Linked DNA regions of Ovis aries. The protein of the gene in region 2 interacts with the protein of the main gene of each other region in a pairwise test. Links are inferred from orthologs where the notes say so. Each region holds a gene or a part of one and is shown on either strand. Other genes may lie near its edges.

Region 1 (3,650 bases), on a different chromosome or scaffold from region 2:
AGCACTGCATGGCCCATCTGGCTAAAAATAAGACTTATCAGTGGAACTAAAAACGAAGGAAAAGTTTTCACTAAAAGCTCAAGGATAAAAATGAACTCAACATCTGACAGTAATCACCAACAGTTTTAAAATGTATATCCAAATTTTAACCTCAGAAGGACCAGGTTTATTTATCCTGTAGAGAGAACAGCTCAAGATGTTGAGAAGTATCATTTGTTTAAATTATGACAATGGGATTGTTTTCAAAGTGTGTTTATTTGGGGGAAAAAGTGATTATATAAGTGTTTAGTTTCATAATTTAAACAAATTGAAAAGTCTGTTTTAAACAAATTGTAGCAAAGAGCTATTCAATATACGTAATTATTTAACTTTCCATAAAAACCAAATAAAAATCACATTTGAATGATTTGTTTACATTTTTATCTGATTGTATCCATCAGATGTACTATACATCCAAGCACAAGAGGCAGACATCTTCTGAGAGGTGCAAGAGTTGTTCTTTCATGAATGCCCTCTAAGAATAGGGAAACAGCAATTTTTATATATGCATTCAAGTGCATATATCTATGTACTTCAAAAAGCAAAGCGTCATCTCTTCATCCATTGTTAACTTAATGGTAAGACTGCAATAGAAAAAAGAAAAAGTAAACTTCTAGATTTTGTACATGGAGTTTATTAACTCCTTGCTGTGACTTAAACTTATTGCTTAATAAATCCAAACAGCAAATCATCACTTATTCTGGCATACACTTTACTGAAATATTTAAAACAATATACATATGGCAAAAAGTTACACTAATTAAAAGTTTCAGGGACACTTTATTAAGATTAATTGGTTGTGATTAATCTGGTTGGAGATCTGATTAGTCCTTTTAAGAATAAACAGATTTTCTTTTCCCCTGTGGAGAATGTGACTTGGCTCAATTCATAGGGGAACATGGTGCTTTTCTACTTGGTCATATGCCCAAGACAGGTCCTCAACTAAGATGTCAACCCTACTCCAGCTTGGCTGACAGTAGAGCACACAGCATTACATATAATTGGCAATGCAGAAGCGTGGGATAATCTTGAGCTCAGTACTGTGAAGGGTCTAACATAACCCTGGCTGAGAAACACGACAGCTGCGTGAACGATGGGCAACGTTACACATTCATGGCTCTGGATTCTCTGAAAATCTACCTCTATATCTAGCCAGACTGAGAGAGATGACTTCCATTGAACTTTGTGCTTTGGTTTGATGCTATCAAAACACTACTGAGAGAAGTTAAAAAAAAAAAAAAAAAAAAAAGTCCAATGAAACACATCTCTGAGTTTACCTCAAGAATGCTGTTGAGGATACCGCTTACTACATTACAAATCCTTTGAGGGATATCTGAGCAATTTCTGTATTTTTAATACCAGGAATACCTGTGCTTTCATCCTTTTAAATGCTTTATCTAAATTTGTCTGAAGGTTGAAATTTACTTATTTTATATACACACCCCTTAAAAAAAAAAAAAGGGTTTAAAAGCTTTCTAATTGTCCATCCAAAACTGGAGAGTTTTTCAGCTTATAGGACTATTACTGCATGTTAATAACAAATTAAACACTCACATGGGGGCCACCAGGCATCGGTGGAGCACCAGAAGGTCCTGAAGGCACTTGAAAAGGATTATTGGGAGTGGGATACAGTCCTGGTGTGGGATACGATCCTGCAGGGGCAGGATACGGCGCTGGTGGTCCCCAGGCTCCTGGTGGCACAGTGCCCCATGGAACAGGTGGGGCCGCCCCTGGTGCCTGGGGAGGAGGAGGAGCGGGGTATGGCCCTGGAGACGGATATGGCATATTGGGGGTGGGATACTGCCCTCCCATTCCTGGTGCCCAGGGTCCCGAAGACATGGATCCCCATGGACCTAAAGGACCAGCTGCAGTTGGATCTGTGGGTGCACCATATGGTCTTGGAAGCTCAGGAAAGGGCATATTTGGTGTAGGATATGGCCCAGTGGGGCCAGGGCCTGGATAAGGACCCCCAGGTGGGGGGCACGAGGGTCCAGAAGGAGGAAAGGGAGCCGGGGGTCCCGGAGGCGGTCCGGTGGGAGGCACGGAGGGGTACATCCCTGTTGGCGTTGGTCCAAAAGGCACGGGGGAGGGTGTTGCACTTGGCGGGAGTCCAGATGGCACGGCAGGTGGAGCACTTGGGTTATTCCAGGGGTTGGAACCTGGCCAGCCTTGAGGAGGTTGGCCGGGTTTTGTATTGCTCACAGCAGAGGTTTTGGCAGGGGAGTTTTCAGGTAGCGCATCTGCCAACTGGAATACAAAACAAGCATGTCTTATTGATCTTATTCAGGGACAGGCAATGCCATACACGATTATCAACCTATGAAGGATGGTAAGCTATCAGGTCAGGAATTCTTCAAAAGCCAAGCTGTTCCGTTTAAAACCACTTCGTTTAATACAAAATTTGGGAGTTTCCTTGAATATCAGCTTTACAATGCAAATTCCTCAGAGAAGCTCAAGTTTTCTAAATACAACTGATCAACACAGTATGAACTGAATCCTGGCTTTTCCTCAAACAAGTGACATACCTTCTCTGAGCTTTGGTTTCCTCATTTTCAAAACAACAGTTTAGGGTTAACCTGAGGCCTAAATGAGATAACTCACTCAATGCACTTAACACAGTGCCTGGTACACAATTATCAAGAAATGTTGGCTATAATTAACACTATCCGGTTAAAAGAAAACAGAAGTAAGCCTTTAAAAAATTATACTTAAAGATTCATCAAGAAATAAGTACTACAGAATGCATTTTCAAATATTATAGCTAAATTAAGACAAATCATCCATCAAAATCACATGCTAAAAAAAAAAAAAAAGAAGAAGAATCACAAAAAGCATTTCTTTTAAATTGGAAGACTTCGGGCCCACAGTTAGGACCATGTCTTTTTTCAAGAGCCAAAAAACTTATGAAGAATAAATGCATCAACTTACCGAAAATTCATCAGACATTTTCCTAAAAACAAAACCAAAACAAAACAAAAAAAGAAGGAATATTTCAAAACCAGTTTATTATATTTTATATTCTTTAAGGAATTATGCATATATTATTTTATTTAAATGGAATCTTAATAATTTATAAAATTACTTTCTTCATGTAGGAAAAATCTCCAAAATAGTTCATACACCCTGATAAACTTCATCCCTTTTTACTGGCTATACAGTATATAAAAGTGATCCATAATTTACTTTGTACTCTCAAGTTGGTGGCTGTTTAGGCTGTTGCATTCTGAGTTTTTTAAAATGACGACACTGTGAACATCTCTAAACACCTATCTTTTTGAGTCTATTACGAGGAAAAAGCACTAGAAGTGAAATACACAGTCAACAGGTAAGGCCATTTAAAATCCATCTCAAAAAGGCCATCCCAATTTACACTACCTTTTTAAAGCTCCTCTTCACCACTGGATGTTACTAAATTTATACATCATTTTCAATGACAGGTTAAAGATTGGCATCATGTTTTAACTTACATATGATTATTAATTAAGTGGAAAGTAGAGCATTATTTAAATTTAATACCCCATTTAGACTTCTTTTTCTGTGAATATGCTTGGACCACTTTCTACTCATGCTATTTCCCAATCTATTCTAAGAAAGCAATCACTTTTTAAGTT
Region 2 (3,650 bases):
CGTAGCCATAAGGCCGCTGCTGCTGGGCGGACGGGCCCGTCTGAGATGCACGGTAGCTTCCGTACTGCTGGCCTTGTCCCTGCTGGTAGCTGGAGTACTGTGAGGGGGCACCCTGGGCAGGTCCTAGAACACAGCAGGATCGTGAGATCACCCCCCAACACCCTCTCCCACAGGTCCTCCCAAGCCCCTGAGACGTGCATTCCTGCTAATTCAGTCGTGTCTGACTCTTTGCAACCCCATGGAATGTAGCCTGCCAATTGGAGTAGGTTGCCATGTCCTCTTCTAAGGAATCTCCCCGACCCAGGGATCCAACTTGCATCTACTGTGGCTCCTGCATTACAGGTGGATTCTTTACAGCTGAGCTACTGGGGAAGCCCCTGAGACATCAGCACCCATTTTTCTACCACATTAAACCTGAGTAGTGAAAGCACCACAGCTGGCGGCCAAACCTGCTACGCCCCCATGGCTCCAGCTATGCCTCCCCCACATCCAGACGGGGACTGGGGGCCACTGTCAGAGCGCTAGACCTGCTTCTTGGGACCAGTCTACACAGTCACAGTTATTACTGTAAACACGAGTTAAATGTACAGCAAATGGCGAGAACACAGGCAAGACAATGATGGTGCCTCGAAGCCTAAGTGGACAGGGAAGGCGGAATTGACAAAGGCTGAGGGGTTTTTCCAAAACCAGCCTGATGGAGGGTCTACAAAGTGCCTGCCTAGCCCTCTTCAAAGTGCCAAGGTCAGGAAAGACAAGGAAAGTGCGAGCAACTTGCAACCCAAGGAGTTGTGGAACCCCGGACAGTCCAGGACAGGAAAGGACATGTAGGTAGGCCCATGAGGTCTGAAGAAACGGGGTTCAGTCCACGGCCACACACCAGCGCTGGTTTCTTAGCTGTGACCATGGGGCGCTGGGAATAGAAGAGGTTAGCCATGGGGAACCATCAGCTTTCCCCATAGCTTTTCTGGAAACCTACAGCTGTTTCAAAATAAGACGTGCGCAGGCACCCATTGAATGACCATGCTCCTGCAACCCCCACCGCCTTACCGTAGCCTTGCTGTTGTCCGGGGTAGCTCTGCTGGTTGGGGTACTGCTGTTGGGAGTACGTCTGCTGCTGGGCTGTTCCCTGCTGGTACCCTGTCTGCTGCTGGCTGTACTGTGAGTTTCCTGCAGAGGGAAGTAGACATGAACTTGTTTCCAGAGAGCAATGGCAGCTCCATTGTCCTCCAAGGTATGGGCTGCTTTGGGTTCCATAGATTGACTCTATTGCTCCAGCACCTTTTCTTTTCCACAACAATACAAATTATTTTACTATACTTCTCTCTTACTATCTGATAGAAATACAAATATACGGCCAAAATGAAAAGACTATTGCAGTTAAAACAAAGCCTGATACCAGGGCTTTGAGGTCCTGACCCTGGGGACCTGTGGCCTTATTTGGAAAGAGGGTCTTTGCAGATGTAATTGTTAAGGGGAAGCCATACTGGATCAAGCTGGGCCCTAATCCAGTGTTCCTATAAGAAGGAGATCTGGACACACACACAGGGAAAGGCTGTGTGACTCCCAGAGTCCAAAGGGACCCCACACGTTTCAATGCAATTTCGTTTTACAGGCAAATGTGCAAGCCAGTTCAGACCTGTAACGTGTTTTTCCTCTGACTTCATGGATGAAAAGATGTAGAAATTTACCTCTGTGTTCTTCATCTATTTGTGGGTATAGTCCCAGAGATGTTTTAGGTTCATTTTTTCTTTTTTTTTTTCCCAAAGAAAATGCCTTAATTCTCATTTTCAAAACTCTTAACTAGCCAGCCAGCACCCATGCTAAAAGCCTCATTTTTGGAAGAAAGCTCACAGTAAAAGTTGAGAGAGTGGTAAGCATATTAACAAATAGTTATCAAGGGTTAAGAGCGAGTGTTAACAACCATTTAAAAATCCTACACCTACAATGGAAAAGAACCTAAGAAAAGTACATATGTAAATATATGTATATATGTATAACTGAATCACTTTGCTGAACACCTGAAACACAACTCTGTCAATCAACTATATTTAAATAAAATTTTAAAAATCAATAAAAATTAAAAATATTTCTACAAAGTCTTCCTAACGCAGGTCACAAGAGTTTTAGATTGGTGTAGAGATTAAATTCCATTCAGTTTTCATAGTGCCTTTATACAAAGACCAATTTAAGCCTAGTTTCATTGTTTTCTTTCAAATAGGGCTTTGCTCTTCACCACCACAGTGCCTGCCCTTTAACTTACAGTATGTCGGGTCCTACTTTGCATAAGACTCCATGCTCTAGCAGGAGCAGCTGGAGGCTCTAGCAGGAGCAGCTGGAGGCCGGGGGCCCAGGAGTGTTTACTCCTCTGTGGCATCAGAGAGCCAGTGAACAGCCTGCCCAGAAAGGAGAGCTGTTTATTGTTTTGTTTTTGTTCTTTATTCAAAACATATTCTGGAAGTAAGAGACAGAGGCACCGTGACAAGAGGCCAGGTTATGAACAATGGAATCCAAATAACCCATTTTTCTACATTATTTTTCCAGTTGTAAATAACTTTCCTTAGAATAAAGTAAAAAAAACAAAAAACAAAAAACTTTCCTCTTCTAGGAGTTATAAATTGTAAGTATTTAAAAACTGGGATCCTGATAATGTACATTTAAAAATAACAGCTTTATTGAGAGCAAATTCATGTGGAAAGGCTTAAAACCCCACTAGGAAGTCCATTTCCAGCTGCACACAAAGAAAAGGAACACACTCTGTAATATGGGCAAACTCTTCTCCAAGGTGGGCTCTGATGAGCCTGTGGGTCTTTTTAAAAAATTATCTGTTTCTTATTTGGCTGAGCCAGCTCAGCTGTGCTGTGGCATGTGGGATCTTTAGTTGTGGCAGGTGGGATCTAGTCCCTTGACCAGGGATCGAACCCGTGTCTCCTGCACTGGGAGTGCGGAGTTTTAGCCACTGGACCACCAGGGAAATCTTTCCTCGGTCTTTCTGATTGATCACCATCTAAGGAAACACCTTGACCTCTGCTCCCTCCTCACAACCATGGCTGGTCCCAGCAATAATGGCCAATGGGACAGCTGATGGCCAAGGAGGTGTCAGCAACTGGTGGAGATGTGGGTTCACTGTCCTTGTGTCTCCTGAGAAGTGCACCAGAGACTTGGCAGGTTTCTCCAGGGCTGCAGAGTTTCGGGGCCCATCTGCACGTTCTCATGTCTTACAGTCCTGTTCTCCTTCTGTGGCAACAGGTAAAGGGGCTAATTCACAGCAGCAGCTGCTGAGGCCTGGACACAGCAGGTGTGCAGTGAGTAAGAATGCAGCGCAGCTCTCATGCACCCAGAAAAACCTTCCCTTGATCCAGGGCCAAACCCCAGGGGAAGATGGGCTGGTTTGGACAACTCTGAAACAAGAGGCAGGACTCTCTGAACATGCCTGAGGAGTTCTCAAGAGGGTCTTGTGGGAGCAGCAGAGCCAGGGAGCCCAGATTCTGCCCTTCCTGGAACAACCCGGGGCTTTCCCACCACTGGGGCAGAGACGACCACTTCCCTTGTTTTTCTGCTCCTTTTCATTTGTTTCTATCTTTAAGAATATTGTGACAGCCTATGACGTGGCCATGAAAAAAGGAAACACTCATTGGTTAAAGAAGAGGCTG
Region 3 (4,375 bases), on a different chromosome or scaffold from region 2:
AAACATAATGTTATTCTCTATGGATGCCGCCAAACGTGACACTAAATTCGGTTCTATATTATAAACATAATCATATAATCTTTGAAAATTTAGAAATAATTCCACTTAATTTGGATACCAGCAATTGCAATTGCACACAATTTATATAAAGGTAATAACATATATTTAAGTGTTACAAATACCTGAACAGCCATCAAGAAATCAGAACTTGTGGATTCTAGTCTCAATTCTTCCACCCTTTCAGTAGACGATAATGGCTAAAATTTACTTACTTTCTTTTTATGTACAGTAAGATCATAATTAGTACTATACAAGAGCAACACAATATAGAATATACATTTAGGTTAAAATTGAGTGAAACTCTTCAAGATCTCTGATTTAACATGTTCCCAAGGTGCGTGAGATAAAAGCTACAGGATGTTTCCTGGGATTTGGTTCTTTTTTTCCTTTGTCTTAGAAAGATGGAAATCCCAGTAAAATTTACATACACAAAACCAAACACCTAGTTGACAGTGAAAATTGAAGCTACTCAGGCACTTTAATTTTTAATTCTAATTTTTAACATCCCCACTCTAATCTGTAGTCGTAAGGGAAAATTATCAAAAGGTAAATAACTCATGTAGGTTTTTTTAAAACTATATATCTCTGGGAGGGGGTGAGAGTGTGGAAAGTTCAAACAAAAATGATGACATTTTATAGTCTCAAAACATATGAAAATTACTGAGAAATATTCAACTGTTTTAACTATATTTAAATGACACATATAATGTCCACTTTTTCATCTGGCTGTATTGATATTGTTGGCATTGTTTTTGTCTTCAAAATACTGACTAATCCTAGACATAAATACAATCTTAATTTTGGATATGACTTTTTTCTTTAATTGTAATGTATTTATATTTATAAAATAAAAACCCATTTGTTTCCATTCATTCAAATTGAATGGAAGTGATCATTCAAAAAGCCTTCATAATATATCTGAAGTCAAAACCTTTTTGCTCCAATTATCCTAAAGAAAATAGCTGTTTCCTAAATATTTAAGATAATTAGCTCAATTATTTACTGCCCTAGTATATTCTCAACTAATAAATGAAATATCAATTTCAATAGATTAGCCATAATTTTAGAAGGATATTAAACTTATATTTCAAATGTTTGGAAGAATTAAGGACACAATCACAAACAGTATATGCAAATTGTAATTCAATGTTTAAATGAAATAAAATGTACTAGTTTTTATTAAGATACTGCTTTTTCTATTGTATTTTTTTAAGATTTAGATCACATTTTACATATAAACAGATTGTGTAACTTATTAGCAAATAGACATTTTTACTTATTTGCATCCTATTTGGAATTTGGGAGGAAATTTCTTTACCCTACATAGGGAAGTTTAATATTATGTTTTTACTTTAGATTCCTCTTCCTTTTGAAACAATATTATAAAAGTTTCTGTAGGACTTTTACTTAGAGAGCCTACTGATAAACTCTTGGTTTTAGAAGATTTTCCATAAAATCTAATTAGTGATATTTCACTGTAATAAATCATATATAAAAGCTACTTTTAAAATAGTTGAATATTTATTTAAGTTAATAGCACCATTTTAACTGATTGATCTATGTCTTCTAGTTCAAACATATTTCATCTTATGGCTGAATTGATACACAACTGATACACAATTTTGAATTTGCACTCTATGGTAAAAGGTAGGGTTAAGATCCTTCCTCTTTTTAACTTATTTTTTAAGAATCATGTTTTATAAACATAAAAGCTTATGAGTTGATTGCATGTTGAACAAGTCATTAAAATTCATTATTGCTTACATTCAAAGGAATTACAATAATGAAACTACAACAAAGAAATTACAAAATTACAAAGAAGTTAGCCAATAATGAACAAAGTGATGGTTTTTATTTGCATTGCAGATCATTTTTCACCTTTACCAGAATATGTCTCTATACAAAACATTCAGTGAAAACAATTTTTGGATGAATTTCTAATTGGTCTTTTAAACTCCTGCAAGAACGTTTGAGAGAACCAAATGGAAAAAAGCAAAGAATCTGAATATACTGACTTTCAAAATTCAAGGGTACCCTTGAGCGAGCCTTACCACTGCAGGGTGAGCTGGGTCTGCTTCTTTTTATCCTTCATAATCTGCGTGATGGTTTTCTTCTGTGAGAGGTGTGGATCGGTTGCTTTAGTTTTGCTGTCTGGATTATCCGCATCCTCTTCTTCGGAGGAAAAGTTACCATTGCTTAAATGCATTTCTAATTGCCAGTTGAAAAGATAAAGAAAACCAGAATATAAAATCAATTAATTAGCTCTAAATGTATCTTGGCGTCAAACGGGGTGGTCTATGGGGGGTTCGGAGGAGAGTTATACAAAATCCCTTAGACTTAATTTCTATTCGACCAGCATTTTCCTAGGGGAAACACATGTACGTTTGCGATGTGTTTATCATTGGAGGCCCTTTTAAAACTACATCCGAGTCCCAGTCACGTCCCGGGAGGGCAGAGCACTCACCGGCTTTAACTCCCCCGGGCAGCTCCGAGTCGTCCGCTTTCTCCCCGCTGCCCAGCTCGCGCCCCGGCTGCGCTTCGCCCGTCAGGTACACCCTTTCTTCGGGGTAAACGAGCAAACCCTTGCCCAGGAGCTGCACACAACACTCCTGGACTTCGGGGGAAACCGGGGGAGAAGCCTGCGCCTGCAGGAAGGCGTCTTCCAGCTCCGGGACCTTGGCCATCCTCCTGGCCGCCGAGACTTGGGCGCCAGCCGCTCGACCGGCGCCCAGCGGAGCCGGGAGGCCGGGGCGGGGCGGGGCGGGGCGGGGCTGCGGACCCCGGGCCGCTGGGGCGGAGGCGGAGGCCGCGGCTCGGGATCCCCCGGGCGTCGCGGAGAAGGAAGGCCCGGCCCAGGGGCAGCTCTGACAGCCCAGGGAACCGGGTGGGCCGAGGCGGGACTGCCCGTCTCCACCTGCCTGCCATCCTGACAGATGCTCCGCTCAGAACTCACTTCTCACCTGCGCGAGTCAAGCCTGAGCAATGAAGTCCCTTTCCCCACATCTCTTCCCTCTGTTTCCTCTTCTCCCATCTTGAGCTGGGACCGAGGACACTTTTCCACACCCAAAGCTCTCCAAGGAACCAAGAAAGCGACACTGTCATCTCGGGGTGGGGTGGGGGGCCGAGGGAGGGGAGAAGCAACTCTCCCCACCTCTACTCTCGGGTGACATCAAGGATGCTTCAGGGGACTGCCCTGATTCTGCACGCCCAGGCCGGAGGAGGGGGACCTCAGAGCACCGCTCAGTCTTTGCAGAACATGGTCTGGGCTGATTTATTCCCAGAGTAATCCTGGGCGGTGGGGGGTGGGGAGTGGTAAGGGGTCTTCTCAGTGACCCGGACAGACGCCATCTCGGCCCACTAGTGGGAAGACTGCCTTGCTCCCCAGCGCAGAATGCCTGCCTCTCTGCCCTCTGGGGATCTGGCTCTGAGCTTAGAGGAAAAGATGCATCCACTCTCTACGTATTTTGTAATTTAAACGCATCCCTGGCGATTCCTCACCCCTCATACCTGGTAGTAGTGCAATGGACCATTGCGGAAATGAAAAAATGAAGTTGCCACATTTCATTTCCAATCTAAAATGCCGAGATAGTCGTGTATGGGGGAAAATATCTTGTTCTTTCTTTAAGGAGAAATCAGTAGACTTGGGCTCTGTGTTGCCCCATTGACACCGAATCTTTCCTTCCTTCCACCTTCTGTTCTTTTGACAGATATTGCCCTGTGCTCACTATCTATATGTTTGGTGCTCTCCAGAGAGAGCAAATATCTTGCTTTCATTCACACTTCTTCACCACAATCTGCAGCCTGCCATCCTCATTTGGAGCTTAGTAAGATAGATCACTCCTGAAATTTAACAATATTAAACTATATTATATCCAAATATAACATGGAAAAAGCAAAATGGGACCCAAGGTGGTGGATGGCTGAAGGGTGGATTATAGGTGGGAGTAAAACAATCTAAGAGCATTACTTTGCCAAAGTGGCTAACATTATGAGTACATTTGACCCTTACCCATTTTTCAGCGTAACTTATGGAAAAGTCACCACTTCTCTGTCAGAGATTTTCTCCTGGTACCTCCAGAGCCTGGATCTAGGTTGGGGCAGTCCAGCTATCCAGGCAACCAAAGCTCTAAGTCTATACCACCATCACTCCCTACAACCTTGAGTATCAGTCTCCTCCACCCAGTACCCTGTCTCTGTAAAGCCTCAGAGTTTTCTCAGTCCATGGGGCTCAGTCCTACAATGATAAAGTTTAGAATGTCCCTTCTTTACAGAAACACCCTCAGACTCACTCTATAAAGGAAGTCCTCGTGGTTAA

What was found.
Region 1: the proteins of SS18L1 (region 2) and MAPK1IP1L interact in binary tests that used the Homo sapiens proteins (3 or more experiments, as listed by UniProt). The two-hybrid records come from large-scale screens. The link is inferred for Ovis aries from reciprocal best matches to the Homo sapiens genes SS18L1 and MAPK1IP1L.
Region 3: the proteins of SS18L1 (region 2) and RFX6 interact in binary tests that used the Homo sapiens proteins (3 or more experiments, as listed by UniProt). The two-hybrid records come from large-scale screens. The link is inferred for Ovis aries from reciprocal best matches to the Homo sapiens genes SS18L1 and RFX6.

Annotation. Positions count from the first base shown.
Region 1 is NC_056060.1:65,606,745-65,610,394, reverse strand, and holds part of MAPK1IP1L (MAPK-interacting and spindle-stabilizing protein-like), read right to left. Parts: intron 2,990-3,650; 5' UTR 2,986-2,989; coding exon 2,968-2,985; intron 2,287-2,967; coding exon 1,594-2,286; intron 624-1,593; coding exon 612-623; 3' UTR 1-611.
Region 2 is NC_056066.1:54,723,789-54,727,438, forward strand, and holds part of SS18L1 (calcium-responsive transactivator), read right to left. Parts: intron 1,168-3,650; coding exon 1,048-1,167; intron 124-1,047; coding exon 1-123. UniProt on the Homo sapiens protein: Transcriptional activator which is required for calcium-dependent dendritic growth and branching in cortical neurons. Recruits CREB-binding protein (CREBBP) to nuclear bodies.
Region 3 is NC_056061.1:21,008,683-21,013,057, forward strand, and holds the start of RFX6 (DNA-binding protein RFX6), read right to left. Parts: upstream 2,802-4,375; 5' UTR 2,745-2,801; coding exon 2,525-2,744; intron 2,269-2,524; coding exon 2,112-2,268; intron 1-2,111. UniProt on the Homo sapiens protein: Transcription factor required to direct islet cell differentiation during endocrine pancreas development. Specifically required for the differentiation of 4 of the 5 islet cell types and for the production of insulin.